Oryzias latipes: one gene and its partners. The protein of the gene in region 1 purifies or fractionates together with the protein of each later gene. This does not show direct contact. Links are inferred from orthologs where the notes say so. Each region holds a gene or a part of one and is shown in the gene's direction. Other genes may lie near its edges. The genes, in order: gpn1, polr2g and rpap1.

Region 1 (10,275 bases):
TTCCGTTAGACGTTTTTCTCTCCGCCGTCGCCTTTTGCTTCCTCGTTCCGGATCTCAGGACGTCGTCCTTTGGGACAGCTGGACTTGGAGCTTCTTCATGTCTGACTGAACTGATCTGAAGAAGGAACGATAAAGATCCGCCTCCAACCTCAAGAATGGAGTCCTGTGAAAACCGACCACGAATCTCCACAGATTAAGATCATCTGGATGGAATTAAACTGTAAACCGGTCTAAGAAGGTGTTATTTCCTTCAGATGTAGCTGCATTAAACATGCTAACAACATGATTGTGACAAACGCTTTGAAAATGCAATTCAACCTCTTGAATTATGAAGGATCCTAACATTTAATGGTTGCAGAAAGTTTTTTCTTTTTTAAGTGAGATGTTCAGACTCTAGTGTCTAAATGAAAACACTACTAGAAGAAAGTTTAACTTTGAAAAGCTCTCATTATCTGTTACTATAGTTTAGCTTTTTATCCTTTAGGTTTAGTAAACAGTTATTTTGTGACTGAGAACCAGAACATTAAAGCTAAAATGAATCTGTTGGAGCTCCGTGTGTTTAATGCGATGGAAAGTTCAGATGCAACAAAGAACTTTTTCTGTTTTTGTTTTTTATGCTTTGGCTGAACAGAAATCAGCTTTAAGGACAGAAACATTTCTGACACCTCCTGTGGGGATGAAAGGAAAGCCTTGAATGGGAGGGGCCAGAGTTTGATCCGCCCACCTTCATTAGCGTTTTTGTTCGTTCTGACTAAATGGATCTGATGGAACCAGAGTAGAAATGAAAACATCAGAACCAGAAGACGCTCATGCTCCTCATTCATCTGGAACCAGCCTTTCCATGTCTGACCTTTAACCTGCTGCACATCCTTCTATCCGTTTCTCTGCCTCGCCTGAACACACCCACCTCTCCTCCAAGACCCCATACGACCTTTTGTTTGACATTTGCTACCTGCACCTTGCACTCCTGTCCGCTCAGTGTCCCATTCTCTGAACTTCTTCATTCTACCTCCAAGTCTCCTGATCTGCTTTTATTGTTCCAGATGAAACACCAAGAACCTTCTACTGCCATACAGTTGGTAACGTTTCTGTAAAATGTAATCATTTTTTTTTACAAACCACCCCTAACTTTTGTTCTGTCATCACTAAAGTGCCAATCATGCGGGTTTGCTGCCCCCTGCTGGTAGCTTCTTCCTAGTTCTATATTTTACGACAACCCTTTCGGTTTGACGGCAGGTCGTCGTCATAACAGCGACCAACATGGCGGCTGCTGCTGCGGGTTCAACGGAGAGCCGGGAAAGTTCGGCGGCGGGAGACGGCGTGGCTTCTCCCCGAGACCGGCCCGTTTGCCTGCTGGTTCTGGGTATGGCGGGTTCCGGGAAGACCACCTTCGTTCAGGTGAGTGACGGACCGGCGTGGCGCGCGCCCGGCGGCGTCTTTTCATCCTCCGTCACCGTCTATGTGCTGAAAGCACATCTGTGGTCCCATCTCAACAAACGTCCTGATGGAAACGATTCTGGGTTTGAAATGTTAATTCGAACGAGCGAAAATAACCAAGAAATGGGCGGAAAATGTCTGAATATATGGAGGAATTTGAAGCCACGTGAGAAAAATAAAAGAAAATCGAAATTCCAAGTAGTGAAGTGGAAAAAGTGGAGAAAAGAGTCGTAATCTGCTGCAGTACTAGGCTATCATCACTACTCATAAGCATAACTACTACAAAAAACTACTTAATTATCAAGTGCCCCGGATTTAGAGCTGATATGAATAAAGTTTGAATTGGAGATGTTTATGAAGCGATTTTTAGTCTGACCAAATATGGATTTGAAATCAAATTTCTTGTTTGGTTCCACCTGATTTAAAGGTTTCAGGCTAACACTACTGTTCATAAATTGACAATATAAAAAGACGTTTCGATTCCAAGCTGCTTCCTGTCTGGTTCTCACCTTCATGGCGTTTCCCGCAGAGGCTGACGGCTCATCTTCATTCCCACAAAGCTCCTCCTTACGTCATCAACCTGGACCCGGCGGTCCACGAAGTCCCCTTTCCAGCCAACATCGGTGAGGAACAGTCTACTTACTGGACACACACCCTCTATCCACACAGTTTCACACAGTCCTGCTATGGTTTTTGTAACACACAACATTTAAAGACCAGGAAACTTTGTCAAAGATTTTCAGAAGAAAACCTGAAAGGTTTCTGGATTCAGACACTCTTGAATCCTGGAGTTGAAGAGAAGAAATGTTTCATCGACGTGACGGTTCCTTCTGTGACTGAAATAATCACTGTTTGACTGTTTCTCTGTTCTTAAAGTAGAAAAAGACGTTTTTTTTTTTGTTTTTTCAGTTTGTGTTTAAGTCCTTCGCATGTTTGGATTCTGTTCTCATGGATGTTTTCCAGACTTTTGTCTGAGCAGCACAAACCACGCACTGCTAAAAGCACCGGCAGCTCATATAAACCTATGTCTCTATGGAAAAAGTAAGAATATTCTTGATTCTGATTGGCTGCTGGGTGTGGAATAAAAAGTGATAACCGCACACCTAAAAAAGAAGTTCCGGTCACATAGCTTAAATGTTCTAACTAGTCCAATTTATGTAGTTAAAAAAAAGTGATCCAAATGGAAAAACACCACAAGAATGAAGAAGTTAAAACTGATTGAAAATTCATTTCTTTAACCATGGTATAACCGGGTTAATTTCAGACAAAGTGTACATTATCAGAATTAACACACTTAACCCTTACTTGATGAATCTTCAGACCTTTCTTGGCATCAGACTTGGGAAAAGAAGTTGTTAAAGTTTTTGATTCTAAATCTGCTTTCTGCTCTGCTGTGCCCCCCCCCCCCCCCCCCCCCCCCCCCCCCCCCCCCCGCAGACATCAGGGACACTGTCAACTACAAAGAGGTGATGAAGCAGTACGGGCTCGGCCCGAACGGCGGCATCGTGACCTCGCTCAACCTGTTTGCCACGCGCTTCGACCAGGTGAGGTCAGCCAGCCGTACGGTCTGGTCTGAAGGAGGAAAAGCGACGGGCAGAAGCTTGGAGAACCTCAGAGGCCAATGAAGGAGCTCAACGCTGTTTGATACTAGAGCTAAATAAAAAAACTCAGAGTGGCTGAATGATGGAAAACAATAACATTTCTAAGTAACGCGTCTCACAAGATGTTAAAATCATGAAGTAAAAGTTTACAGACATGAGAAGGGTTGGAACTTTGTCTGTTTGAGACTCTACTGTGTCTGAATTCCCACCCTAACCCCTACATGCTGCACTCTACAGCGCGTTCGTCATGTTCTAGTTTGTCTGAATCTACAATTCCAAAATCCAGTGCCTTAGAAATTTCCCAGAAGTCTCTGAAAAAACCACTGTGCATCAATGCTCACTAGAATATAGACCACAATGCATTGTGTCGGAACAATTTTTGCAAAAAAAAAAAAAGTATTTAAATGTATTTTTTAGTATAGTGCCGCACTGTATAGATGTCAGTAGTTGGGGGGTTAGGGTGTGAATTCAGACACAACCTTAGTCTGTAAAAGTCTCAGAACAGAATTTTAGAAAAGCTGTTAAAAAATCCTGAAGACACTTCAGTTTGAGGCCAAACCAGGTTTCTTCAGACTTGAAAGTTCTTTATTTTTTACAGGGTTCCTACAGAAAGTAAAAATGTGAATCCTCGCAGACGGATATTTTAGTCTGTAGACTGATGGAAAGTGAAACTGCAGAGGAACTGTTGAAGCTGAACAGAGCTGGACCCACTGACCTGCTGTGTGCTTTGGTTCTTGCAGGTGATGCATTTCATTGAGAAGAAGCAGCAGAACCACCGGTCAGTATAAACCGGCACCATAACCGAGAATGAACATCCATAGAGTTCAATAGAGTTAAAGGGGTTTGTGTGTAGCTGGGTTGCAGAATGCTTGTATGCTAACGGTAATAGAGGAGTTTCAATGCCTTCATTTAGAAAACGGAAAATCCGCAGACAGAATCTGTTGGATCAAACACCGTTCTCCTCTCAGCCAATCAGATCACATCAAACGGTCTGCTTTTGAGAGGGAGAATTGAACTCGTGAATAAAAACAGCATCCCGGACAAGCCCCCGACAATATTAAAGTCTGTATTTCAGGTGCCCTGCAATGATGTTCATGAGAAATAGGGGTGTAAGAAAAAATCATTTAGGTGATATATGGCGATAGTTCATCAATCCATGGTATGGATTCAAAATACTGCCAGGACGATATTTACTTCATTATTTCTGAGCGTCCTTCAGCGTCTGCCTCTTGTTGTCCACTTCAACCTCCAACCACTAGTTGGCAGCAGAGAACATGGAGCCTCTTTGAGCAGCTCTACAAAACTTTTTTTTTTTTTTTCTTTGAACTTTAAACATACACATAATAACAACACACAAAAAAAGAGAGAAAAAGAAAATAAGTAAATAAATAAAACAAAATATATAGAATTGTAGTTTACAATACTAGGGATTGTGATACAGCATGTGATCTTCAATGAAAACACACAGTTTTATTGCCTTTTTGTTTTTCATCAATGTCAGAGATTTAAAATATAAACTGATTTCTTTAAGAAATGTATTGAATAGAGGTTTGGTTTTTAAGAATCTGCACTTGTGAATGAAAAATTTCCCAGATATTAATAAGGTATTGAATGTCAAATCAAATAGATTATCACCAGAAACTACTCCAAACAATATAATGTGCTTTTGTAATTGAATAGAAATAGGAAAGGGAAACTTTGAAGAGCACCAAAAAAAGAAATCTTCCCAAAAACTGTAAACATACATACATTCAAAAAACAAATGATCAAGTGTTTCAATATTTATATCACAAAAAGAACAGTTATTCTCTGGAAAACCAAAACGTATGTGTAACAGTTCTTTGCACGGATAGACTGCATTCATTATTTTAAAATGGATTTCTTTGTATTTTGGGAAAATTGGATATTTAATAAACTGAGATCTTAACTTGCTTATTTCCTCTCTTGTGTAATGCTGTGACATAGAATGAGCTCTACAAAACTACAGGAAGACCTCAGCTAGAAGCAGCTGGTTCTGTTGTTATCAGACATGAACTACTGAGTTTCTACTTAGGATGGTACCGAACAGAAACTCTGCCGTGTTGCTGCCGGTAACATAGAAAATCGTGGATTGCTGTGCTTTTTGAGGCTGAGATCAGAACGAGTGAAGCTCTGCAGCTGCACAGCGGCTAAGAGGCTAATGCGCTTAGCATCGGCTAAAATGCTGTCGGCAAAGCGGGTCAAAGTTCTGCAGAACCTCCCAGTATTAGATTGTAGTTCAGCCGCCTGATGGATCAGAGGGATGTGAACAACGCTCTGAAAAAAGGCCCACGCCGTGGCGAGGAGTGTTGGTTTACTTCCGTGTGAGAAAGCGTGGCTGCAGCGGTGCAGACATGTAACCAAAGCCTCTTTGTCACGTTAGGAACTTTCCTTCATCCTGTCATGCTGCCTCATCATCATCACTTTGTTGTTCCCGGAAAGAATCCGTGGTTTTGAATCTCCTGAACCGTTAGAAATACTGGAGAAGCTACAGTTAGCAATATTGAAAATAAACCACCTTATTTCCCCAATCCTACTTTTACAACCTTAAGGCCCGTTCACACCGGGACGAATTTCACCCGCGATAATTCGCCGACGTTTAACGCCTCGTGACTAAACAAAGGGCACCAATGTGAGTGTGCACACCGACGCGAAAAAATGCCAGGCGTCAAAGCGTCAGTTTTTAAAAAACGCCTCGGGTTCGTTTTTTTGGTTTGACGCGCCAAAAACTAAACGACCAATGAGAATGGCGCTTTTGCACACGTGTCTGGAGCTTCTGAAGTTACAGTAAAACACAACTTGGGGGCGCTCAAACACAAAACTCCCTTGCTGAGCACACATACCAGCGAAGAAGATAGACGCCAAGTAGCGTCTACACAGCCGCGAAGAAATAATGACGGACATTCTAAAATATCCCCGAACCAAAAAAATATTCCCGAAAATTTCATGTTTTCATGTTATTCATGTTTTCTTTGTATTATTCTGACAAGCGTGTAAATACTTGCTCTCTTCTTCTGAGTGAAAAGCGACTTTAAGAAGCGTAAAGTTGAGCAGCGCCACCTTGTGTACAGTATTTCTGTTTACATTAAGCGCCATCTAATGTCAGGGAATGAAATTGCATGTTCACTCGGCTCATCGTCAGCAAAAATCGCCTGGGTATGAACACAAAAAACGTGGCGAATAACGCCTGGCGAATATTCGTCCCGGTGTGTACGGGCCTTTATTGGTTAAGAAACATTCATTCCTTTATTTTTCTTATACTGAAAAATATTTTGTGGTGGAAATCAGACAATGTTAACTGTTCCCTTTCTATATTTTAAGTTACCAAAATAAAAGCATTTCTTAACATTATGATCATTAAATAAACTGAATTTGACCATTTTATTAAATGGTAGTTTCTTCTAAGTCTTTTTTTGTTTGCCCTTCATGACACGTATCGTCTCGCCAGACTCTCGCCAATACACCCCCCTAATGAGAAATGACCAGCTCTAAAAAACGTCACGTCTGCTTTGTGGTCTCGTTAAGATTCGTTGAAATGTCTCATTTTGTTGCTAACGGCAACCAAACAAACCATTTATCAGAACAATCATCACCAAACCAGAGACCTGGAAGGATCTGAACGGCTGTCAGACTCATCGTAGGTTGTTGGAACTCAACAGTGTTTGTTTGTCTTCATCCCTACATCCATCCACGACAATATCCTGTAAACTGTGTTAGCGTGACATCAAATGACCTGATTGATGACATCACACTCATGTTTATGACAGAATGGCGTTGCTTGTGTCTGAATTCCTTCCCTACTCATTCTGTAGAGCGTTCTGCGTTTTCTAGTGCTGTCAGAATCTACACTTCCAAAGTCGAGTGCCCTAGAAATTTCCCAGAAGTCTCGATGCTCACTAGATCTGCGAATATAGACCACAATGGGGGTCGGCCGTGGTGCAGTGGTAGAGCGGTCGACTCCTGATCAGAAGGCTCGATTCCTGCCCTAACCGCCCATATGCTTAGGAAGCGCCCTTGGGCAAGACGCCAGACCCCACATTGCCCCGGTGGGGGGTTGGCGCCAGTGTTCAGCAGCAGAGTGTGCCACCGGTGTGCGACTGGGGTTGGTGTGTGGCTGTGACTGTGTGCTTTTATAAAGCATTGTGTTTTTGAGAAAAAATGTATTTTTTTAAAAATGTTTTCCTCATCTGAACTCTGTGGATTCATGAATGGTCGTCATAAAACACTAGATTTTCACTCTGTGAAATCGTGATGTCATAGTCGCGGTTTAAAAAAGTAGTGAGCGTGGCGTCCGACCTGCTTTTGTGTTCCAGGGCACTAGATAGTTTTTTAGTTGTTAGGGGTTTGGGCGGGAATTCAGACACAACCTTTAACTGTCAACATCTGTTTTCAGTCCAAATGTAAAGTGTTTGCGGAAACTCCGCCCCTTTATGGTCTGGTGGACCAGTAAGGTGACAGTCTTGTGCGCCCCTGCAGGTATGTCCTCATCGACACCCCCGGTCAGATTGAGGTCTTCACCTGGTCGGCGTCTGGAACCATCATCACGGAGGCTCTGGTGGGCGGAGTCTCCCGTCGTCTACGGCGTCCTGAAGTGGTCGTGGTCGTCACCTTGTGTTTGTGTTTCAGGCTTCGTCCTTTCCCGTCGTGGTCGTCTACGTGATGGACACGTCCCGGAGCGTCAACCCCGTCACCTTCATGTCCAACATGCTGTACGCCTGCAGGTAAAGGCAGCCGGAGTTCAATCTCCCAGAATGCTCAGCGCTGCATCTCAGGTCTCAAACACAGAGAACATGCAGTAAACGGCGTCTGCGGCGCTTTTCTACCTTCATTCAGGCCCAAAGTGCGTTACATCCAGACACACACATGCACACGCACGTGCACACACCATGCTGCCATGCGAAGGACCACCATGTCAAACCAAAGACACGTGAACAGGCAGAGTGGGAATCAAACCTGCCACTTACTGATCAGAGGTGGACCCTCATACCTGGAAAGTTGACCGATTTACAAAATAAAAAAATGACACAGAACAGACGGATTATTTCCATTCAAGCTTTTTGTCAAGTTTTTCCTGTAAATACGTTAAAACTGGAAATAAAAAGCAGAACAAAGAAAAGTTATGAGTAGAACCAACCATCAGGGGGCGCTGTCGGCGCAGACGCCAGCTTCATGTCTTCTTGTGGTTCTTTTGATTTGGATGTGGATTTTTATCCCCCCCCCCCCCCCCTCCTGCTGCCCCCCCTGCTGGTGTTTGTTGAATGAATCCTTTCTTCTTTCTGCAGCATTCTCTACAAAACGAAGCTTCCTTTCATCGTCGTCATGAACAAGGTAGGTCGGTCCCGCCTCCACGCCGTCACGCCGCCGTTCCCGCCGCCGACCGTTTGTCTGTTGGTTCTGCAGACGGACATCATCGACCACGGCTTCGCCGTGGAGTGGATGCAGGACTTTGAGGCCTTCCAGGACGCGCTGAACCAGGAGACGTCCTACGTCAGCAACCTGACCCGGTCCATGAGCCTGGTTCTGGACGAGTTCTACACCAACCTGAGGGTGAGAGTCAGGAGTCCATAGAGGTGCAAAGAGCGCTGACCCATGAGATCTACAGGGAACCAAATCCAAGTTCTGTCAGGACACATTAATCAATGTTTCAGCAGCTGCTTCCACAGAAATATGCCAGAGTTATTAGCACAGGAGCTACACTTCAGGATAAAACATTTTAGTATTAGTGGTCAAAACATTTACAAAGGTTATTTATAATAAAAAACACAGCAGGAACATCCATGTCTGCAGGCCTGCTTTGTTTTCAGCCGTTGGCTTAGAGCTGTGTGGAAGGTTGGACAGTTTTCATGGTTTCTGCTGTGCTGTGGCTGTTTATTCCATCACGGTGCTCCTCTGACACCACAGTTTGGCTGAAGTTAGCCCTGCGCCTTTGAACATCCAGTTAAAGTCCTGGTTTTTCTGTTGACATTTCAAAATAAAGGTCTTGTGAGGAGCGCTGTAGGAGAGGAAACCGGAGAAGAACACCGTAGAAACGTCTTTTTTAACTTCACTGTCGTTCATTAAACGTTGTTAGCTGTTTGTGTTCTGCTGTTTCTCCCTGCCGGTTCCTGAAGGTTACGCCGTGTGTCGTGTAGATGTTTTTCAAAGTCTGTCTGGACTTTTGTTCATAGCACAGAACAAACCGAGGCAGAGTTTAAGTGGGCGTGTCTCTATAGGTGGTGGGCGTGTCTGCTGTCACGGGAAGCGGGTTGGACGATCTGTTCGTTCAGGTGGAAGACGCGGCCAAAGAGTACGAGACGTGAGTCTGGGAAGCATAACGAAGCTTCAAACCCTCTGCTGCTTCATACGGTGAAAGTAACGAAGCTCCGCCTCCTTCCCCAGAGAGTACCGGCCTGAGTACGAACGCCTCCGCCAGCAGCTGGTGAGTGTTTGGCGTTTGTGTGTGGGGTCGACTCCGCCGGCCGCTCTCTGAGTCACGCTCCTGTTCCCAGGCGGAGGCGCAGAGCAGGAAGCAGCAGGAGCAGCTGGAGCGGCTCAGGAAGGACCTGGGAGCCGTGAACGTGACCGGGACTCCGCCCACAGGTGCAGACAGCCCCGCCCACTCTTTAAAAAACCCTGTATTTAACTCCAACTGACTCTGTGTCCGACCGCAGAGGGCGGCGAGGAGGCGGGACCCAGTGACCTCATCATGATGCGTGGGAACCCCGACAATGACGAGGAGGAGGAGGACAGCGACACCGACGACATCGACCACACAGGTGAGGAAGACGAAGGTGGACGGACTCCGTAGAAGCAACCAAACAGGCGGCCATCACAAACTCCGCCCCTGTTTGGTTGCTGTGGCAACCGAGCCAAATTCTGTGTCATCGAACAATGTGATCAACTTCTATCGGCCCCTGAGCGCCATCATGAGGCGAGATGAGGCACGACGAGAAAGAAAAACATCTCTGTAGAAAGTATCTTCATTAAGGGACAAACTCACTGGCTTCACTTTACACTTTCAGTTTGAAAACGTGTTGGAGGGAAAAAGGCGGCAAAACTGCGATGAAAAACGAAGCAAAGGAAACTTAAAGGATGGCAAAATCCATAAAGAGCCTTTTTTCCATATTTACATAAACATTAAAACAGATTTTTTAGTCTTTAGGGATGTTTGCTCTGCATTTTAACGGAACCGTGAAGATTTTCCTCCGTTTAGATGAAACGTCCAAACGTAAAGGTTTGA
Region 2 (10,375 bases), on another chromosome or scaffold:
TGAGAGAATACATAATACAACTTATTACAAAAGAGTGGAAGTCAAACAGAACTTCTTTTTGTTTTTGGTGTTTTTGGAAACTACCAATCTCCCATTTATCTTGTGCTTTCAGACAATCATGTAACCTTCCCTCCTTAATGACCATCTTTGGCCTCGTCCTTGTGTTTGTCCCGCGGCACACGGCCCATATTATAGAATTCAAGGTTGGGCCTCATGTCAGTTAAGTGGGCGAGTCTGTTAGACATGGCGAAAAAAGCAGCAATGGCCGCGATGTCCCAGGCGTCCTCACGGTCAAAGCCGACTTCCTCCAGGGACTGGAAATGTTCCTCTGTGATGGTGTCACAGCGACACACGGCCATCGCAAAGTCCAGCATCGCCAGCTCCCGAGGGGAAAGCTCTGCGTTTTTATAGTTGACTACCACCTACAAAGAACAGAACAGTGTAGCAGTTTTGGAACAAGTTAGTTAAAAACCTTCACACCTTTTTTTTTTAAGTATGAGATATGTATACCTGATCAGCAACAGTTGGTTTCTTGGAATAGATTCGATGCAGAGCACTGTGAGACACCACACAGTAAAGACACCTGTTGTGAATGCTGGTGGCCACTACTATTAGCTCACGCTCTGCCTTGGTTATGTTGCCTGGAAAGAAAATTTAAAAGATCACACTTATGATCAAGTTAAATAACATAAAAGAAGAAAAACATTATTTTAAAGTGTTTGTTCTTATGGGTTGTTGATTTAGGTAGACATGAAATACATTTTTCTCTAAATAAAAAAGGTTTTCCATAAAAGGTCGTATGAATCCTCAGCTAGCCTCAAACTTTTTACTGTTTCCCAATCATTGAAAGGAGCAAAAAAAAAAAAAAAAAAAACATAGAGTTTGTTTTCTTTTCATCACTGTAGCCAAACCTGACAAAGTCACAGTTTTGTTGGTTTATGCATCACTTCTGATCCCAGATTTGAACAAATGTTTTTCCAAAAAGAGATTATCCAATCACAGAAGACAGAATGAATAAATCAGAGCAACCTCCCCAGTGCAGACATTAAAGGATCACCAGACGGACAAACAGTCTCAGAAATGATTGCTGAACCAGGAGCTAGCATGAGCAATAGGCAAGGCAAGGCAAGGCAAGTTTATTTGTATAGCACAATTCGTACACAAAGTAATTCAAGGTGCTTCACAAAACAGAAAAATGCATTAAAATCACAATACATCATGACAGTCATGACATCACATTTAAATACATGCACGTCTACATTCACTCATGGAGTCCCCGGACTGGTAGAGAGATACCTTTTTTTTCTTCTTCATTTTTTACAGTAAATTGATTTGTTTGCACACCAAAAATGTAATACAATATAAACAGAATGAATTGTTTTTGTGTTTGGCCAGCTGTCTAAAATATATTGATTCATTTCTGTCAGCAAATCTTTGAGCAACTGTGATTGTAAAGATATCTTATCATGGTGGTAACTTTGATAAAGTCCTCTAACCAAACTCAAACAAACCAAGAAGCAACACAAGGGGTTAGCCAGCTCTGTGTGGCAGGGGCGGAGCCTTTCTCATGCGCCAGGGGGTGGAGCATTGACTATGTATGAGAACTGTGACCCCTCCTCCCTCGCGTTCTAAACAAGAAGTACCTGTCGGCTCAAAGAGGCTAAAATCCCATAGACTTCTATAGAGAAACAGCTGTAATCATTCTTCTATCCTACTTTTTCTCTCCTCTTGCTAATCCTATATTTTTCCCCATTATTTTTTTTTTCTGGTCTCACATCGAAAGTTAGAAACGTGTGACAGATTCTCCAGAGCCTGCTTTCAATTGGTGGGGGTGTGGCCTTCCAATAGGCTCAGTGCTGATTGGTGAGAGTGGAAACGATGATTCAGACCAACTCAAACCAATCACTGTTTCCTAACGTCATCTGGCTCCAACATGGCGGCGTCCAAATCCCAAGATAATGGTGACTGAATTGACTTCATTTCGTTGAAGTAAGCCATTTTTTTTAATGGATGATGTCACACTTGCTCTGACCAGTTCTCACATCCAGTCAAAGGGGTGGAGCCATCCATATGCATCAACAGGATATTTGGGTTGGTGTGACAGAGATGGAACCAGCCTTGGGTAGCAGGGACAGGCCTTTTTATTTTGACAAGGGCGGAGCCAGCCTTGAGAGAAAGGGGCGGGGCCTGTGTAATGCAACAGAGGAGAAGTCGGCTTCGAGTGACAGAGGCCAAATTAGCTTGTTTGAATGTTTTTAAGCTACATAACTTGTGTATCAATTACGTAGCGGGTCAGCTTAACATAGTAGGAAATATAAATCTTTTCCAGTAAAGATTGAAAATACATCCACTACAACAAACATTAGACTACTACTTAGAACCACATCCAACCAAACCCACTGTGAATGGTTAAAGCACACGTGTCAAACTCAAGGCCGGGGGCCAAATGTGGCCCGCCATGTCACTTTATGTGGCCCGGGAGAGAATAAAAGTTTTTAATTCCTTAAAATAATTTATTTTTGTTGTAATTATTCAACGTTTGCAGGTCTTATGTGTGTGCAGACAAATTGTTGTCATCAAACCATCAGTTGGATGCAAAGCTGTGTGCAGCCTTTCTTTGTAAAATGTTACATGTGTAATACATGTTCTTTCTAGCTCAGTTCATGTTATTTTTCTTCATTTATTTGGACAGTTTGATCATGGGTTTTAATAAGCGGACAAAATTCTAAAGTATTTGTGCTAGAGTAACAAGCAAACATGTTTTCTATGCAACTGTAATTTTAAAAAGTTATAACAAATAAATAATGAGTTATTTAACATTAAGGAGTAGTTACATTTATTTTTCATTACATTTAGTTACATGTATAAGTTATATCTGGCCCTTTGAGGACAACCACTATGCTGAAGTGGCCCTCAGTGAAAATGAGTTTGACACCTCTGGGTTAAATCTCACTCCAACCATCTTTTGATCCAATTTTAAAGTGTTACCGCTGGTCTTTTTATTATGATTATGTCATTTTTAGCCAAAATCAAAAACCTGTGTCGTTTTCTAGGACATATGTTCTGCACATCGGCAGCAGCTCATGAGAAATTCATCTGGGTTGTTGGCGGGATTCTAGGCACGGAGTAAGCCCGCCCCCACTTCCCGTCACCAATCTGTTTACACTAGCCTACAGCCCCTCACAAGCCCAACCTAACATAAGTGGTGCAACTAAAACGGCGAGCTATCCAGCCGTACAGTTTTGAGCCAAATACCAGCTGGGATGAGGAAAACAGAGACGGACATGGATCTGTCTGCAAGTGAACGGAGCGGAGCAGGAACTGCAGTTTGAACGTGTGTGTGTGTGTGTGTGTGTGTGTGTGTGTCAGAGTCTCTGAATTCATCTTCACGTCCTTCCAAAATAAGGGGTAATTTAAAGGCAACACCCACCTGTATCTTTATTCATTAACTCATTGTAGTAGGCGAAGAAGGCTCTGAACTCAGCTGGTCTATGAGACAGGACTTTGAAGACATTGGGCAAAAAACCTCCCTGTGAGAAGCAAAACATAGAAAGAAAGATGTACATTTTCACAGTGTAAACCTTAATTTAAACGTCGAATTCGTTATTTGTGAGCGTTTACCTTTGCCTCAACCTCTTCCATAAGCTCCACTATGTCATAAGGGAGGTTTTTTCTGTAGGGAATCGGGTAACGACTTATTTTCTCCGGTGGACCGCCGCTGGAGGATTGTCTGGTCGCCGCTGATCCGCCAGATCTCCCCTGGAGTAAGAGGCTTGACGCGGGCGGAGCCTTAGTGGACACCGAAGGAATCAGCAACAAGCACGACTCAACAAACACCACACAAGACTTTTCAACTACTCACAGCTTGAGTTAGTAAGGACGACCGAAACAACAACTTGGAGACGAGTTTGCCTGCCATGTCACTCCACATCAATGCAGACCGCTTTTTTGTGGTTGGTTTACGCTTTTTAGTCGCCTCAAATACTCCAGGGCTTTCCTAAAATTATTTACTTTAAAAAATAAAAATCTCACACATTACTATCTACAGATATTATAATTCGAAAAAGCTACAGTTGAATGCCGTCCAAACATGAGCCTTGTTTGGGGTGATTTCCCGTCGCGTGTGGCCACACAGACGCTATTTAGCTTTGTGTTTGTCAGATCTTAAATCGGTTGAAATCATCCAATGAATAAGCTCCGCTGAGTGACGCCTGTTCTTTAGTACGCCCTGTTGCGTCGGCTCCTCCTCGCCAGTAGGGGGCAGCAGTCATGAGTGCTGAACATGGTCTGAGGTAACCTTTCTTAAAAATACAAATTCAAAGTTATAACCACACATTTGATTTTCACGATATACATTTTACATTCTGTGGGTTTTATATATTAACAATACAAGGGTGCCATTTCTTCTCTTTTAAAACAATGAAAGGGCAACTATCTCATGTGACCCGGAAGAGATCGTTTTGACACACCGATGCCTTCATGCTAGCTGTTTTAGCATAAGGGAAACACAATTTGGACAAAACAGTGCAAAACAATCAAAGAAAGAATCTACATCTATATACAACAATATGTTTTATCATGTAAGTACTTGAACTTTTCCACCCCTTATGAGAGTATTAATAGATATGAAGGGAGGTTTTCGTCTTCGGTTTTTGCGCGATAATGAGGCGGCTTCACACAACTTTTTTCAAATCCCTTTTACCAAATATATCAGCGAAGTTTTATCTTCCATTGTTTGGATCGGCTTGTAACAGCAATGTTATTTGGAAAGTTTTTCCTCTTAAGTTAGCACGATCATAACCACGCCATGATCATGATGTGTTTACAGATTTCTTTGGAACATGAAATCTTACTACATCCACGGTATTTTGGTCCAAATCTGCTCAACACAGTGAAACAGAAACTCTTCACGGAAGTGGAAGGTACCTGCACTGGCAAGTGAGTAACAGCTAATCATAAATAAGTGCATAAGTGTGATTACTTTGTAAGTTTCTAGTCTGTCCTGAAAATAACAAGCATTTGCATTCACTTTTCTGTAATGCTGGTTTGTATAAAAAAGCTTAGAACTGCATCCCTACAGTATTTCCTGCTTGTGTCCCTTCTCCCAGGTATGGTTTTGTCATTGCTGTCACTACTATTGACAACATTGGGGCAGGTGTGATCCAGCCAGGTAGAGGTTTTGTACTCTATCCAGTCAAGTACAAGGCCATTGTGTTCCGCCCATTCAAAGGAGAAGTGGTGGATGCTGTGGTCACGCAGGTTAACAAGGTAAGGACCCATAAGTACCTGTTGTAGGCCTTTCTAAGATGTTTGCCATGGAATAGATCCTTTTGTTGAACGCTTGTTTTTCACATGGAAAACGTAGATTCATGAATTGTTTTTCTGAATTCCAGTCTCTTTAAATACATTTTCTATCCTCCTTTAACAAAATTTGGGTTCTTTGCAGGTTGGCTTGTTCACAGAAATTGGTCCCATGTCCTGCTTCATTTCTCGCCATGTAAGTTTATGTAACATTTAACACTTTACTATATATATATCTTGACCTAATATGTAGGTATGTTTTTATATTATTGTTTGTGTATTTTATTGTTTTTTTATTCTCCCAGTCGATCCCTTCAGAAATGGAATTTGATCCCAACTCCAATCCACCTTGCTATAAAACAGTTGACGAGGTATGTGTCATTACTCTGTCTGTTTTATGCAATAGTAGATTTAGCATGCAGAGACATTGAAGGCTACTTTTCTCTTTCAGTTTTTAATCCTTGTGATACATTTGATTTTAATGAACATTTCTTATTGTGTTTATTAGGACATTGTAATCCAGCAAGATGATGAGATTCGACTGAAGATTGTGGGAACACGAGTGGACAAGAATGACATTGTAAGTTTTTTCCATAAATATTATTTTTGATCTTTTGACCAGTAGCGACACAGATCCATTAACATCTTCATTTTCCTTGACTGAGCTGCCAGGACTGGATAGCTCCAAAAATTCCTCGCACTATTGTCATCTTGGGGCTGTAAGCTAGTGGGAAAGAGTGTAGACGGAGGATTGATACGAAATTAGCGCAGGATTACTTTGCACCAATAGTCCCGCTGACAACTCAGAGGTGAATCTCTGATGAAGGTTCCTACCATTCGGCAGAAACTATGTCCCAGAGAACATCACAGTTTTTTGTTGTTTTTTTTGGCCAAAAGCAGCACAATCCTAATGAAAAGACCACTGGGAACAATTTAACAATAGATCAAAAGATGATTGGATTGGGACTTTAGGTCCATATGGATTCTTGTAATGTTCCTTTCTTTGACTTTCTGGTGTTTTTTCAAACCATTTAAAAGAAGAACAACAAGCTTAGTTTGAATACAGCAGGATCTGGTTTGACAGTTAGTCAAAAGCCTGATTACAATAAAAGCAACCTCACTAAAACATCTGCTTGTCGAAATACCCATGTAAAGAATTGTGCAAAACTATTCATTGAAACAAGTTTCCTCTTTGTTTTCTAGTTTGCCATCGGATCTCTGATGGATGATTATTTGGGTGAGTATTAAATGTCAAGTCAGAATTATTTTTTTTTTTTTTTCAATCAAACAACAACATAACTAGACGATGATGATCTTTATATAAAAAGAACACATACTTTAGAATCTAAAATATGTTTGGTTACTATTTTAAATTAAAATTTATTTTCATTCGTGTTGTATTATTTTTCTTAACTGTCATCAAATTCATTCAGTGCCAGCATTTGGAAATTCTAATATTCAAACATACGTACAACATTTTATACACTGAAGTTTAGGATTTAGTTTTACATGAAGGACCTTCTTAAAATGATCTTCAACTTCCTTTATCTCACAAAATAGATAACTTATTAATTCTTCCAAATATTCAGTGATTCTTTACCATAAACAGTACATTTTCAACGCAATTGATACCTCACAGTATACAATTGTCATTTGTTTTAGTACAGTTTTCAATGCAGTATTATGATTTAATGGTAACATTTGGTCAATAATATTTTCATATTTTTAAATCACAGTGATTATTATTTGAAAAGGTATTACTCAGAAAGTAAATCTGTCAGATTTCAGTTTGTAAATTGCATATAAATGGCATTAATAAGCAATAAAATATTGTCCAAATGTAAGAGAAGAATTCAAAATAAATTTCACGAAAGAGGCTGCTCTTCTTGTTAAATAAAACGGACCAAAACTCATTGAATATGCATAATCATGCTTAAGTGATATAGGTCATAAATCAAATTATTTTTTAAAACACTTTTCACACGTTGGTAACACAAATGCTTTGCTGAATAAAAAATATAATTTTAACTTAAGTTTGAAGGCAAACTTAGCGTAACCCAAACTGCCACCCAGCCCAACTCGTTCATCTACAATTAAAAAAAAATAAAAAATTCTATAACCTGAAGCATTTTCTCAGTCAAAATGTCGAACACCAGAAGCACTGTTCGATTTATAATTGATTATTTTAATTGTTGTCTAACTCGGGTGGAGATTGTGCTGATGTTGTCAGTCATAAACAATGTTCAAATTAGTCATCCTCAGGCCGTCCACACGGTTACAGAATAATGCACATAATGAAGTGTGTATATATATATATATATATATATATATATATATATATATATATATTATGCCGTTTACAGATTCTATATCAAACTAACCCTGGCTTTTTCTTTTTTTTAAGGTCTCGTGAGCTGATTTCTTTCAGCTGAGTGCTCACCACCTGGGACAATTTATGTAGTAATAACTTCATGATTTATATTCATGTTATGGTAGGATTTAGTCAAAGCCTTGCTGTTTTTTTTCCAATAAATTAACATTCTTTATTTTAGTTAGTTGAATTGGTGTCAAGAGATTAATTCTGCAGTTTTGTGTTTTTATATATATATAAATTTGGTTTAAGTGGAATACATACCTTCAAATTTAGTTGTATCATTTTTGTACTTTGTAATAAAAGATTTAACTTTTTCGTTTATCTTTGTATCATTTTTTTAATCACATACGTCGACAAAGTATTTGTTGGAGTGTCCAATATTTATCTTCTAACACTTGAAAACTCAGTCACGTGCGCAGCAAAATGGATGGGCACGTGTCACGGTCGTAAATACGTCACTGATGTGCGCCGTCGTTCTTTCTTTCTCTCGTCCTGAAGATGGCGGCAGGGGTGAGTAAGATGGAGAGGAGGCCAACAATGGAGTTTTCTTTCAACCTTTTCGTCACAATCCGTCTCGTATCTATGTCATCTGCTCTGTTATTGTGTCGTTTAATAGACACATTAGACCATGTTGCTGTTTTTTAGTTGGTAGAGGGTTTATTTGTCATTTATATTTAAGAAGACGCTAACAATCCTGCCTGTTTAATGGCTAACTCGGTTGTGCCACGTTACAATATTTCGTGAGACTGGGGATGATGCTCCTAAATTTTCCGTGGCCATGCCACTTTATGACCGACGCATTTTTTAGAATGATTAAAACAAAAATCCCCAGATCCTCTTTATTCTTTTGATCGAACCAATCAAATAAGTGAACAGATCAGATGTGGTTTGCTAGTCTTACAAAAAGCACAAGTCGCGCTAAGCTAGCTTACTTCTAGTTTGTTTCTAAAACAATGTAACCATGCCACTTAAGTTTAAGAGGCGTTTCAGCCTATTGGTATTCCATATGTATTTACTTTTGGTAAAATCTTTTTTAAAAGTGCTCCGTTTCTGATATGCTCATTCATTAGCCAGGATTAGCTACAGCTGGCATCGTTATCACATTACCTCAGTCTAAACCTTTTCTCATATGAAACAATACAGTTTAAATTAGGTTTGGACCTGCATTAAAGCAGTTTAATCATAGAAACGTGCACAGAGATTGCATAACTAGATGGATTCAATACATTTAGTCACAAGCTGATAGAAGTTTTCCTGTATTTCAGACTATCTACACATACCCGGAGAACTGGCGGGCCTTCAAAGCCCAGATCGCTGCCCAGTACAGTGGTGCTCGCATCAAAATCGCCAGCACCCCCCCTGCCTTCACCTTCGGACAGACGAACCGTACCCCTGCCTTTATTAATAACTTCCCGTTGGGCAAGGTGAGGGCAGCTCAGTCACATTCAAGTCTTGTTCTTTTCCTCATTAACTAGTTGGGTTTCACACAGCATCAAATCCTGTGGTTCTAGGTACCTGCCTACCAGGGAGATGACGGCTTCTGTCTGTTTGAGAGTAATGCCATTGCTCACTACTGTAAGTCACATTTTTTTACTTCTTAGTCTCTCTAAACGGTCAGAACAGGTTGCTTTAATTGTTATCCAGATTCTCTAAATCAATTCTATTGAGTTGAGGCAAAACGATAGTGAAGCCTTGTTAGCAAATGTTGCTAAATTTGGGGGTTTTGCAGTATGGTTTTATGAATTGTTTAAATTTCGTGTTTTCATAAATCCACTAACTGCTTTGTTCATTCCATGGAAACTCATTTGTCTTGAATTTGTATGAGGCTTTTGGTTTTCAAAGATCAACCGGTTGTTTTTCTGGCTTGTGGCCTACAGTGAGCAATGATGCCCTGCGCGGTGCCACGCCTCAGGCAGCAGCGCAAGTGCTGCAGTGGGTGAGCTTTGCTGACTCTGAGATCATCCCTCCAGCAAGCACATGGGTCTTCCCTACTTTGGGAATTATGCAGTTCAACAAGCAGGTATGCAAGTCTTTATTTTCTGGATTATTTGGTTATTGTGACATGATTCTAAATCACTGGCTAACTGTTAAGTTTTAAACTATTTTTTTTTTTTTTTTTTTTGGTGTGTAGGCCACAGAGCAGGCCAAAGAAGATGTAAAGAAGATCCTGACCGTCCTGAACCAACACCTGAACACTCGCACTTTCCTTGTGGGTGAGAGAATCAGCCTTGCGGACATCACGGTGGCCTGCTCCCTGCTCTGGCTCTACAAACAAGTATGCAGCTTGACACTTTTCACTGTGTTAAGTGGAACCTCCAGCATTATTTGAGCTGGTGTGTTTTCCATAAATGAGCTGACCTGTTTTATCTTTTGTAGGTCTTGGAGCCTTCCTTCCGCCAGCCCTATGTTAACGTGACCCGCTGGTTTGTCACCTGTGTCAACCAGCCCCAGTTCAAGGCCGTCCTCGGGGATGTCAAGCTGTGTGAAAAGATGGCACAGTTTGATGGTGAGTCAACAAGAATGTACTTGTTAGAACCCTGGATTCATTTAAAAACTATTTTCCCTTTGTATACCAATAAGTTTTATTGCACAACATTTGGCTTCAAAGGTGAACTGACATCTCTTATGTTCCCCCCGGAAAGCTTTATTGTTTAAACTTTTAACATGGTTACTAAAGTTTGAATAAAGCAGAAACATCTG
Region 3 (10,275 bases), on another chromosome or scaffold:
GTTTTTTTCTAAAACATGCAGGCTGCCCAGAACAAACTCATTAATAGAGCCCTGACCTGCAGAGATGCTGCTTTTGAATGTAGAGCTAAAAAACCTCTTGAGGGCCTTGTAGGTCAGAAGACACTTTGAAAATTCTAAAGCTTTGTTCAAAACTGGTTTCAACCAAAATAAGTCTTTCTTTAGCTGGTACGTCCAGGTGTTTGGACAGTTTTTCCTTACTGGCAGTGTTTGCCTTACATTCAGAGGTGGAGCTGCCAGTGAAGCCTCAGAAGGAATGGGTCCACATGGACAAACTGGAGCCAGAGAAGCTGGAGTGGATGAAAGACTTGCCTCCTCCCAGGAAGAAGGGAACTGAGAAGGTAAATGAGCAATTCCGGCAATTCTGCTCAGATTTGTTGCTTGAACTCCATTTATTTGTCTGAACTGTATTTGTTTGTAGCAACCAACAGACAAAACGGCTTATTTTTTTGTTCCTAAAGGCCATGCAGGCCCGTTTTGACTTTGCCGGGACATTGATGCCACCCACTGAAGATCTACCCACCCACTTAGGGCTGCACCACCATGGAGAGGAGCCTGAGGTCAGCACAACTGGTTCACAAAGCATAAGAATATGAGCCTTTTATTATAATTGTTTGTCTTCTGCTGACAAGAATCAGTTGAATCAGTTGAATGGAATCCTTCACCTCTCACTCTGACATTCATCGTGTCTCCATAGCGGGCGGGATATTCCCTCCAGGAGCTGTTCCTGCTGTCTCGCAGTCAGCTCATCCAGCAGAGAAGTTTGGCTCTCAACACTCTGGCTAACATCCTCTCCAAGGTACACAAACAGACCCGAAAGTCTGTCATCTTCATCCTTAGGGAGTATTTTCGTTGTAGTTATGTCTTTGTCCTTCAGGCGCGTGCTGGAGAGTACGCATCTGCCCTTAGAGGCACCGTGACCTCCACTCTGCTGGACGCCGGCGTGCTCTTCCTGCTCCGCTTTGCCCTGGACGATGGCGTGGAGGGAGTGATGTCTGCAGCTGTGCACGCGCTTAAAGCCCTTCTCGTGTCTTCTGAAGATGAGGTTAGATTTTCCTGAGATTCTCCTCATTTTTTTTTCTTTTTTTGTGAATTCTAAACCCCCCCAAAAAAGTTTAATTTGGAAAAATGTTTCAGGAGTGCATGGATTCTACTTTCTCCTGGTACCTGGGTTTGGCCTCCTTCCCTCTGCTGCCCTCTTCCCAAGATGATGAGGAGGAGGATTATGAAGGGGTGGATGGATGCATGAAGCAGACGGCCAAAGAAAAGGAGGAACAGAAGAGTGATTTTGATGTTACCCAGCAGGATGTCGTCAAGGTGAACAAACCACTTCTCCTGCTCTTTCTTCTGCTTCCTTTGAGTCCAGACGGCTGACTTCTTTTATGTTTTAGGGCTTATTAAAGATGAAGCTGCTCCCCAGGCTGCGCTACATTCTTGAGGTGATGCGGCCGTCCCCTCGGGTGGCTCAGGACGTCCTGCAGATCCTGACCCGTGTGGCCCGACACTCGCTGTCATCTGCCACTGAGGTAAGAAGAGTGAAAGGAGCAGCTCACAAACTCACTGGATCACTCCAGCCCTTCATCTCCTCCTCAGGTGTTGAACTGTCCTCGTCTGATGGAGACGGTAACGTCAGAGTTTCTCCCCACTTCCTGGTCGGCATCTTCCTCACCCAACCCTCAGTCCATATATGGAGTTCCTGTGCCCAGCGCCATGAAGCTCTTGAGGGTCTTGGCTACATCTGGCAGACATAACTGTGCCAGACTGGTAATTATTTTTAATACTGGAAAAAACTGTCATTTTAGCTGCTTTGAGATGCATTTGAAATCAAATCACTTTAATTTATGTGGCGCCTTAATATGATTGCAGTCAAACAAACATTAAAAAAGCAGTTAAAGGGTTAAAACAATTACAAAGTAAAGTAGTGCAAAATAAAAATATATAATATAGTAAAATAATGACAGACAAAAAGCAGAGGTTAAATAAAAAAATACCAGCAGACAACCATCAGTTTAGATTATTACCATAAGTGTTCCTTCATTTCTTTTAAGTCTCAATCTTTTAATATTAAAGCATATTAATATGCTTTAATATGCTTTTTCCCAGTGGTCTTTTAGTGATGTTTATGCCGTTTTTAGGCTAAATCTAAAATCCTGTGTTGTTTTCTAGGACAAAGTTTCTGCAGAGCGGCAATAGTTCATTGGAAATTGCCCTCTGAGTTGTGGGTGGGACTGTTGGCATTGAGTAAGCTCGCCCTTTGTTGCTGTTGATTTGATTAAAAAAAAACTCAGAAAAATACATTTAAGATTAATTTTCTTTATAATGACACAACGATGACACAATGATTAAAGACTCACTCTGGAAGAGTTGGATAAATGCATAATCTGGTGGAGGTGAAAGTTTAGTTTCTATTGAGGCCAGAACAGGTGGATCGAGTTTAAACTGACACACTAAAGACTTATGGCACCAAATCTTGAATATATACCTGTGCCATCAATGGAAGAACTTGGACTTGTATTATGCTCAGGAAGTCAGTTACTGTAGATTTGTTTTCCTTTTTTCTGAAAAATCACATTAAAGATGTGATTTAAGAAGCTAGTCTGGATCAGAACTTTGTTCCAACTCCCCCTTACCCGGGCCTCTGGGAAACATACACATTTATTCATAACATTTATAACAACAATCACTACAGATATAATTTAATTAACTCTAGGAACAGAACGTTCTTTAAAAGGGTTTATGCTGCATCAAATATTTAATATTAATAAACCATAAATATCTATTTATGTTTTTTTTCTTTGTTCTACCACAGATTTTCTCCTCTGACAAGTTTTTACATTTATTTTAAAGTTTCTTACTCCAGTTGCCTTTAAAAATGATAGTTGATTATTTAAATTGTTTTTATTTTAGTCATGCTTTGGGCAACTTTTAATCCAGCTGAAGCATTTTCGGATCTTAGATAAAGAACTTTACTCATGGCTTTTTATATTTGTGAACAATAGTATGATAAGGTCATAAACAAGTTGGCTGCTCAAACATATTAACTAAAATATGTTTTTCAAGAGGTTTTTGCTTTTTAAGATGAATTATTTACGTGAAATTCATCCATTTTTTGGTTCTGGTGCAGGTGGAGTCCAGAGATGAGGGGAAGTGGCACTTTAGTCAAATTTGCACAGTTAAAGCTTCATTTAAAGTAAAGTACAAAATATCAGACAGGAAACTTCATGTTCTCATTTGTTTTTCAGTTTTCATGTCAAATAGAATTAAATCTCCTATATGGTTATATTGGATTAAGTCTATACTTAAAATTATATACAATTCTGAACTTTCAAAGTGAAGATTACAAAGGTCCCTAAAGTTTCTGCAGGAAGGAAGTGGAAGCCCAAAGGAGGCGGAGCTACAGCTTCAGGCAGCATTGATGCACAGGTGCTGCATGAATGTGGCGGCTTTGGTTTCAGTCTGTCTCAGCAGTTGCAGAGCAGCTGTGGCTGATAGCAGAAGGCTGGTTGTTAATAAATCAAAGCTCAAGAGGAAGGTGCAACATGTGCAAAAGCAGTTTCTCTGATGACACGAGGAAGAGAAAGAAACGAAATGGGAGATGCAGGCAGGTAGAGATCCATCATGTTTATTGTGTTCAGGGAAAACTTCACCTCCACATATTCTCACAGATTGTAAATAGAAAAAAATGCAGCAATATGGGAAAAAAGCAGACGTTTGTTCATCAAAGAGATAAGTGCAGCACACTAGCAGGCTGTTGGGTAAACTATTCTAGATGAAAAACCGATATGTGAGAGTTGGATTTGGGAAGCCAGCTTATAGTTTTTTAGAATATTGCCTGCACAAACAAGACGAGATGAGAATTTTGTAGTCTGTACATTTCATAAAGCTCACAGTTCCCTGGGACAACTCTAGAAATGACCTACCACAGGAATAAACTTCAAGGCAGAGTCTGCTGCAGAAGCAGAGGAACACAAACGGAGAGCTGAGATTGGCTATAAAGTTTTTTTTGGAAAGTGAGTTTACGCTCTGCTCACAGAGCTGTGTGTTATCACTATGATTTGGTTGCCTTGCTATTCAAACCTGTGCTTATGAGGGGTGTAACGTTTCATTGATTCAACGATTTCTTTTCCTACAATCCAACCAGATCGATCTGTCTGAAGCAGATCGAAAAGACCTAAATCCTTATTGAATATATACAAAATGAGATAAATTAATTAAACGTTAGGTTTATTTAACAGTGATGAAAGTCTTCCGGGAATTCCCGGAAATCCGGGTTTTTGAGCAAACCGAACGTACTTTCCGGGAAATAAAGACCTGATCTCTACGGACAAATCGCTTTCCGGATTAAAAAATGGTCTGAAATCAGCTAATTTTAGCTTTATTTTCTATATTTCTCCGCAGATCGCTTCCTCTATGGTCGTGGCCATCTCTCGTCTTCCGGGCCTAATTGACCAATGACGGGACGTTTTAGTTGCTTTCGGATGCGTCGATGGGTCTGATTGGCTCTGTCTGCACCACGTGGTCAGCGTGACTTGCTTCCCTAGAGACCAAAACTGGCGGACCCACGCTAAACTTTCACAAACACATCTGAAGAGTTTGCGATCAAATTTGTGTTAAAATAATGGCAGGCATCGTCATTATTGAGCCTGGTCACGACCTCAGTTGTGAGAAGACGATAAAAAACAAATTGAAGTGGTCTTGGCTGGAAAAAAAAGATTTTTAAGGTAGTGTAGGTCAAATACTTCTTTGTGTAAAATAATCTCAAAACCACATTTTGAAATAATTTCAACTTTAGTTTTGAGTTTCAGTTTTTATTTTGAATACATTTCTTTATCTAATTTATTTGTATTTCCTAATTACCATGATTTAGTTCAGTATAGTTAACATTAATTATAAGTATTTGATGGTTTGGACCCGCACTCCCTTAAAAAATAATGTTTACAATATTTAGTTTATTTTTTATGTTTGTTTTGATATTTCCCAGATTACTTAGTATTGGTGTTAAAGAATTGATGTATTATGTTATAGAATTATAGTTTAAAGCAGATCCCATATTTTGATGTAATTATAGTTTGAGAAAACAGTGCAAGTGGATGTTGTACATCAGTCATTTCTAAAGCAGAAATAATGTATAAATAACTGAGGTATTTTCATAGAATATCATAGTTACTGGTGTTCTTTTTGCCATTTGGGGCTTTGATGTTACTATATTTTAGCAATTGTATGTTTTGCAGCTTTAAGGAAAAGCATAGATTGTAGGATTGTGTTACTTTGAGCAATTTTCCAAATTCTTTTTTGGGACCAGCAAGTCCTTAATGGAGAGTCAAACTAGGGGTTTGAATGACAAATCATGATGCTCCAATTAGTCTTAGTTTCTTGATAAAGAAGTGAATAACTAGCTGCCAGAATGCACCAGAATGCATCTAAGACCACGTATTTTTCCAAAATTTCGCTCTGTGCCCGCCATATCGCTCAAAGAAAAGTTCAGGGATTTTTTCCTTACCTGACTTTCATCACTGTTTAACTATAACATAAAAACGACCAAGTGCATCACAGTAGACAGCACACACGTGACGGCAGGAAAAAATGATCAAGTCATTGATTTTAACAAAGACATGTGGCCACACGGTGTGCTAGAATGTTCTAATAATGTTCCCTTTGGACCATTTGGATGTGGAAGACCAACAGTGGGATGAACTTTAGAAAACTTAGATGTGAATGAATTTAACAGTGATTATTGTGTACTTATCTGTTTTTACACGTATTTAATTTACACATGATTATCTTGCAAGGAATGTGTAAAACCTCCCCTGCACTGTTCAGGACCCAGGTATTTATCTCTGAGTCACACTGGTTGAATTTTTGGCTAAAATTTCCTGGATCGATGTTTGCTGTTTGATTAGCAGCTTATCAGAAGTCTAGACAAATGTGTGACGGCGAGGCCAATCGATGGGTCGAAAGGTTATTCCAAATATTCGAATGACATAACGGACTATTTGTTGCTGCCACATTCACTTTTGTATTTCTCAAAGAGTTTTTAACTCTGTTTCCTAGTTGAACTCTCTGGGTGTGAAGGAGCGTTTGTCGCGTCTGCTGGGCGCTGAGCCCAGCGAGCTGCTGCTGGAACCGTCCGAGGCTCTCAGGGTCACCACTGAGGCCTACAGGTTCTGGGCGGTGGCAGCCGGTTATGGACAGGCATGCCAACTATACATGTAGGTGAAGCACTGAAGGTTACACTGTATACCAAAGAAAACACCTTAAAAGTAGTTTTGTGGTTAATGTTCTGTTAAATCACCTGTGATTTCACATTTGTTTTTTCTTGAAGAGACTTGTACTCTGCTTTACTGAAGTCACTCCAGTCTGGGCATCGCTTAGCGCCGCCCTCACACGCTCTCCAGCCTCTGCAGCTGCAGCGGCTCTCGGCTTTGCTTTCTCTGCTCACACAGGTCACACACGCAGCCGGCTGCCATCAGGAGTTGCAGGCTGGCGTCCTCAGGTACCTGCAGGATGATGACTCTGTTCTGGTTTGAAGCCTTCGTCTACATGAGGCTTTGTCTGTGTTCATCGCAGCGCTCAGGGGGAGGAGTGCCCTCCTCCGCCTCCTGTTTCCTGGGGTCACGTCTCGGGCTTGCAGGCATCCCTGTTGGGGCATCTGAAGGGTCTTGTCAAAAGCCTTGATAGTCCAGTTCAGGCAGATAGCAGCTTGACCCTGATACCAGCTTATCTGGTCTATCTCCAAGCGTACTACCAACAGCTCTCCAGACAGGTACTCCGTTCTGTCTTCTATCTGCAGAGCAATCGAGGTATTTCAAGTTTGAAGTAAAAACAAACAAATAATTTTATATTTTTCTTTTAATGCATATACAACAGACCTTTTTCAAACCAGTGGAGACTCTTCAGGAGCTGGAGCTTCTGACCTCCGATGTTCTTCTTCCACTTCTGTGTCACAGTGTTGTGCAAGGTCTGATGAACAACCTGAGGTACTTCTGATAACTCTGCTGCTCTTTTCTCTCAAAATGTACATTTTAAGGCTGTTTATTTTCATTTTCATCTTGTTTAGATCCTCTTCTTTGGTTTGCAACGTTCAGTCCCACCATCCGGGTCCAGAGACGACCTCGAATCTTCCAGGTTTAGCCTGCGCAGGATGGAAGGAACGTTCTGGGCTTGTTGTTCCCAGCTCCCCTTTTGCTCTTGTGATCGGATTGGGATCCCTCTTGGAAACAATCACAGGGATCCATAGAGGTCTCAGCAGCAAGGTGGAGTTTAACACATTATTATAACCCATTAATGTGGCATTACATTCAAAACATGTAGTGAAATTGTTACAAAGGTGTTGCCCTCTGGTGGTGAATAACAAAAACCTCTCATATCTGAGGTGTTGGGGTTGAGAGGACATTAGTTGTAGAATTCTTAAAACTTTAGCACTGCTTTTAAATAAATCATTTTATTAAATATTTTTTAAGTAATACAAAAATCTAATATTTTTCATATTTTATGAATAAATGAAAACAAGTAAAATGAATAAAAAATGAATTCCAGTTTTCTTTCTTTTTTTAAAGGGAGTTATCCATTATGTAAGCAAAGGGAAATCCTTTTTTACTATTTGTTAAATAATTTATTTCTTGGTAAGAATAGAGCAGTCTATGACAGTTTTTGTTTGTTGTACTTTGGATGACAGTCTCATAAAAAGTAGTAAAAAGTTGTTCTTTTTTTGTAAATGGTTACATTTTATATGAATTTTTTCATCTGTCCCTAAAGTTTTCTATTAAGGCCTATTTGGAGTGCTTTTCTTTAATCCTTAAATGCCTGAATTTCTTTCCTTCTTTCTAGTTCTCGAGCTTCCTCCTGTCAGAGCCTGTGATTGGTTACCTGCAGGCCTGCAGTAAGTCCACGCCCACTCTGTCTGTGTCCAGGGCTTGGCTCCTTCGTCACGAACACCTCCTCCTGTACCTGCTGCTGCGGATGGCTCACAGGCTGGTGGGTGTGGATCTACTTTGAGTTGTGGGGTAGATATTTGTCATTTTGAAAGAGCTGCATTGTTTCATTTTTCTTCCGTTTCCTTTTCTTTTTTAAACATTTCTCAGGTTCCTGTCGATGTAGAGGTGGCGAAACAGGCCTCACTTTATCACCAGGTGGCACTGGTGCTTCTTCCCTGGTTATTACCAGGCAGTGAATACTTGGCACATGAACTGCTGTCTACTGTTATATTCAACAAGGACTTTATATCGTAAGAAAAACTATTTCCTCTGGATAATTACACCTTTATTGTCTGATAGTTAGTCTAAGTTTTTGTTGTTTGTTTTTCTGTTAAGAGAGGGACACAGTGGAGGTCCAGAGGCTGTGGAGCTCGGGGAGCTAAAGCTTCACGACGACGTCAGACTCCACCCATCTCCATCTCTACAGACTGTTGGCGCTCTCCTCAGAGAAGCCTGCGTTCAGCTGCCGTCTATACGGGGCTGCTTCCTCACTCATCTCGCCTATCTGGAACCGTCTGTGATCGCGTCCCGAAAAGCCCTGCTTGGACGCAACCCGTGGATCAGTTCCCACCTCCTCCCGGAGGTCACGGGGCCCACCCTGCCATCTGACTGGCCGTTCCTCCCCCTCATCAAACTGTACGAGCAGACAGGAGTGTCTGGCGGCGGGGGGCTGGCTGTAGAGGAGCTTCCAGCGGGGGCTCTACAGGCGGCTGTCCACTGTTTGCAGTGGCTACTGCTGCTGGAGGTTTGGAGGGAGGAGTCCTTAAAGGTACAAAATCGAAGAATGCACTCATTTATTATCTGCCCTCAAGATTTACTGGTTTTTAATTCTTATTGAAAATATGAAAAGTCATTAGTCAAATTTGTCACCTTGTTTTAGCACACTGTCATTCAGTTTTAATGGGCCGTGCAAAATCCGTTTTTTTTAAATTTTAAGTTTATCATAATGTTCATTCCTCACAAAAAGAAACCCCAAAGGTGGTATTTTGATCCATGCACACATTTCTGACTATTCTTCTAAAATCCTGCGCTCTGAGCACCAGCCCCTCCCAACCCACAAAAACGAGCGGGTTCTCAGGAGCTGAGGTAGATGAATGAAAAACGGCGCTTTCCAGGAAGATTCTGCGCTGTACGCCCCGCCCCCAGGCTAACCCCCCCCCCCCACATTCTCCGCAGAGCTAGCTGTGATCAGCTAAAATGCCTTTATAAGGCTTCACAATATGCACATCCATCTTTGCAAAAGTCTGGCTGTTTGTTTTTGTGGGTGAAACACCCCCATAACTGCCAAGTGATGGGGGTGTGGACTTCCAACAAGCTCACTCCTGGTTGGCGAGAGTGGTTGCCATAGAAACGTTGACTCAGACCGACTCAGACAAATCCCACCTTGCTGACGTCGTCTGGGAAGAAGATGGCCACTGAATTGACGTCATTTAGCTTGAACCCAAAGTAAGCCATTTATATTAGGGTGAGTTTACACTCACTCGGTCCAGTTCTCTCAGACAGTCAGTGTTCAGAAAACCAGGTGTGGATGGGAAACGGAGATGGTTGACTTTTAATCTAAAATGTTTAGTAGAAACTACATCCTGTTACCTATCAGTTTAAAGAACTTTGTGGATCTTAAAGTGTGTGTTGAACACTTTAACACAAAAAGAATTATTTTTCAGCAGACTCCTGACTTTGAAAGGCTTTTCTCTGGAGGGAAGAAAAACTGCATCCACTGCTGCCTTGATTAAATTCTCTGATATCTTGACAATTCCAAGTGTTTACGTCTCTCCAGCTAGGCACACAGACACGTTTCAAAAAAGATGATGGGACAACTCATCCTGCTGTGTGCTATACTGCCCCCTTATGGCGTTCTCGGCTTACCACAGTCACCTGGCAGGAATGCGCCACATCAAAATGATGATTTCAGGGAGAACGCACTGCTGTAAATCACATTATGGAGTAAACAGTTTGCTTTGCCTGTAATGCTATACGTCTATATCCATCTTATGAATATTCATAATTTGGAGATTTTATGTGCAGTAATAACAGTCATGTTGCATGTGAGCATTTATAACCAATGTAATCAATGTGACGAGTGACATTCGTTGTTTGGATTTGCTTCTCTCTCTGGAGGTGGTTCCTCCTGTAGCCAAGCTGGCCCGTCTGTCCTGCGTGTTCCTCTGTTCAAGCGACTTGTTCCTGGAGAGACCCGTTCAAAAACTGACCTGGGGTTTGTTTAGATTACTGACCAGGTCAGAGTTCAACCACATGGATCAGAGCTCACACAAACATCAGGAGG

What was found.
Region 2: the proteins of gpn1 (region 1) and polr2g purify together in Homo sapiens (affinity purification with mass spectrometry; 4 studies listed by BioGRID and IntAct, counting the BioPlex papers as one, with this or other methods). This does not show direct contact. The link is inferred for Oryzias latipes from reciprocal best matches to the Homo sapiens genes GPN1 and POLR2G.
Region 3: the proteins of gpn1 (region 1) and rpap1 purify together in Homo sapiens (affinity purification with mass spectrometry; 3 studies listed by BioGRID and IntAct, with this or other methods). This does not show direct contact. The link is inferred for Oryzias latipes from reciprocal best matches to the Homo sapiens genes GPN1 and RPAP1.

What each region holds. Positions count from the first base shown.
Region 1 is NC_019861.2:37,307,734-37,318,008, forward strand, and holds the start of gpn1 (GPN-loop GTPase 1), read left to right. Parts: upstream 1-1,228; 5' UTR 1,229-1,260; coding exon 1,261-1,398; intron 1,399-1,966; coding exon 1,967-2,060; intron 2,061-2,874; coding exon 2,875-2,981; intron 2,982-3,778; coding exon 3,779-3,816; intron 3,817-7,532; coding exon 7,533-7,611; intron 7,612-7,682; coding exon 7,683-7,777; intron 7,778-8,338; coding exon 8,339-8,384; intron 8,385-8,456; coding exon 8,457-8,603; intron 8,604-9,268; coding exon 9,269-9,351; intron 9,352-9,434; coding exon 9,435-9,474; intron 9,475-9,544; coding exon 9,545-9,635; intron 9,636-9,706; coding exon 9,707-9,811; intron 9,812-10,275. UniProt on the Homo sapiens protein: Small GTPase required for proper nuclear import of RNA polymerase II (RNAPII). May act at an RNAP assembly step prior to nuclear import.
Region 2 is NC_019868.2:13,734,344-13,744,718, reverse strand, and holds polr2g (DNA-directed RNA polymerase II subunit RPB7), read left to right. Parts: upstream 1-4,329; 5' UTR 4,330-4,568; coding exon 4,569-4,580; intron 4,581-4,828; coding exon 4,829-4,938; intron 4,939-5,108; coding exon 5,109-5,268; intron 5,269-5,446; coding exon 5,447-5,497; intron 5,498-5,606; coding exon 5,607-5,672; intron 5,673-5,809; coding exon 5,810-5,881; intron 5,882-6,504; coding exon 6,505-6,538; intron 6,539-7,705; coding exon 7,706-7,719; 3' UTR 7,720-7,994; downstream 7,995-10,375. Other genes in the region: uncharacterized protein LOC101155778, read right to left, coding at 135-422, 511-641, 3,431-3,530, 3,622-3,789, 3,863-3,931; eef1g (elongation factor 1-gamma), read left to right, coding at 8,174-8,185, 8,941-9,099, 9,187-9,250, 9,553-9,695, 9,807-9,950, 10,052-10,181. UniProt on the Homo sapiens protein: Core component of RNA polymerase II (Pol II), a DNA-dependent RNA polymerase which synthesizes mRNA precursors and many functional non-coding RNAs using the four ribonucleoside triphosphates as substrates.
Region 3 is NC_019880.2:11,591,317-11,601,591, forward strand, and holds part of rpap1 (RNA polymerase II-associated protein 1), read left to right. Parts: intron 1-243; coding exon 244-359; intron 360-479; coding exon 480-578; intron 579-715; coding exon 716-817; intron 818-895; coding exon 896-1,063; intron 1,064-1,155; coding exon 1,156-1,335; intron 1,336-1,409; coding exon 1,410-1,544; intron 1,545-1,611; coding exon 1,612-1,782; intron 1,783-6,069; coding exon 6,070-6,227; intron 6,228-6,340; coding exon 6,341-6,511; intron 6,512-6,585; coding exon 6,586-6,781; intron 6,782-6,885; coding exon 6,886-6,995; intron 6,996-7,075; coding exon 7,076-7,271; intron 7,272-7,845; coding exon 7,846-7,992; intron 7,993-8,099; coding exon 8,100-8,242; intron 8,243-8,327; coding exon 8,328-8,760; intron 8,761-10,109; coding exon 10,110-10,228; intron 10,229-10,275. UniProt on the Homo sapiens protein: Forms an interface between the RNA polymerase II enzyme and chaperone/scaffolding protein, suggesting that it is required to connect RNA polymerase II to regulators of protein complex formation.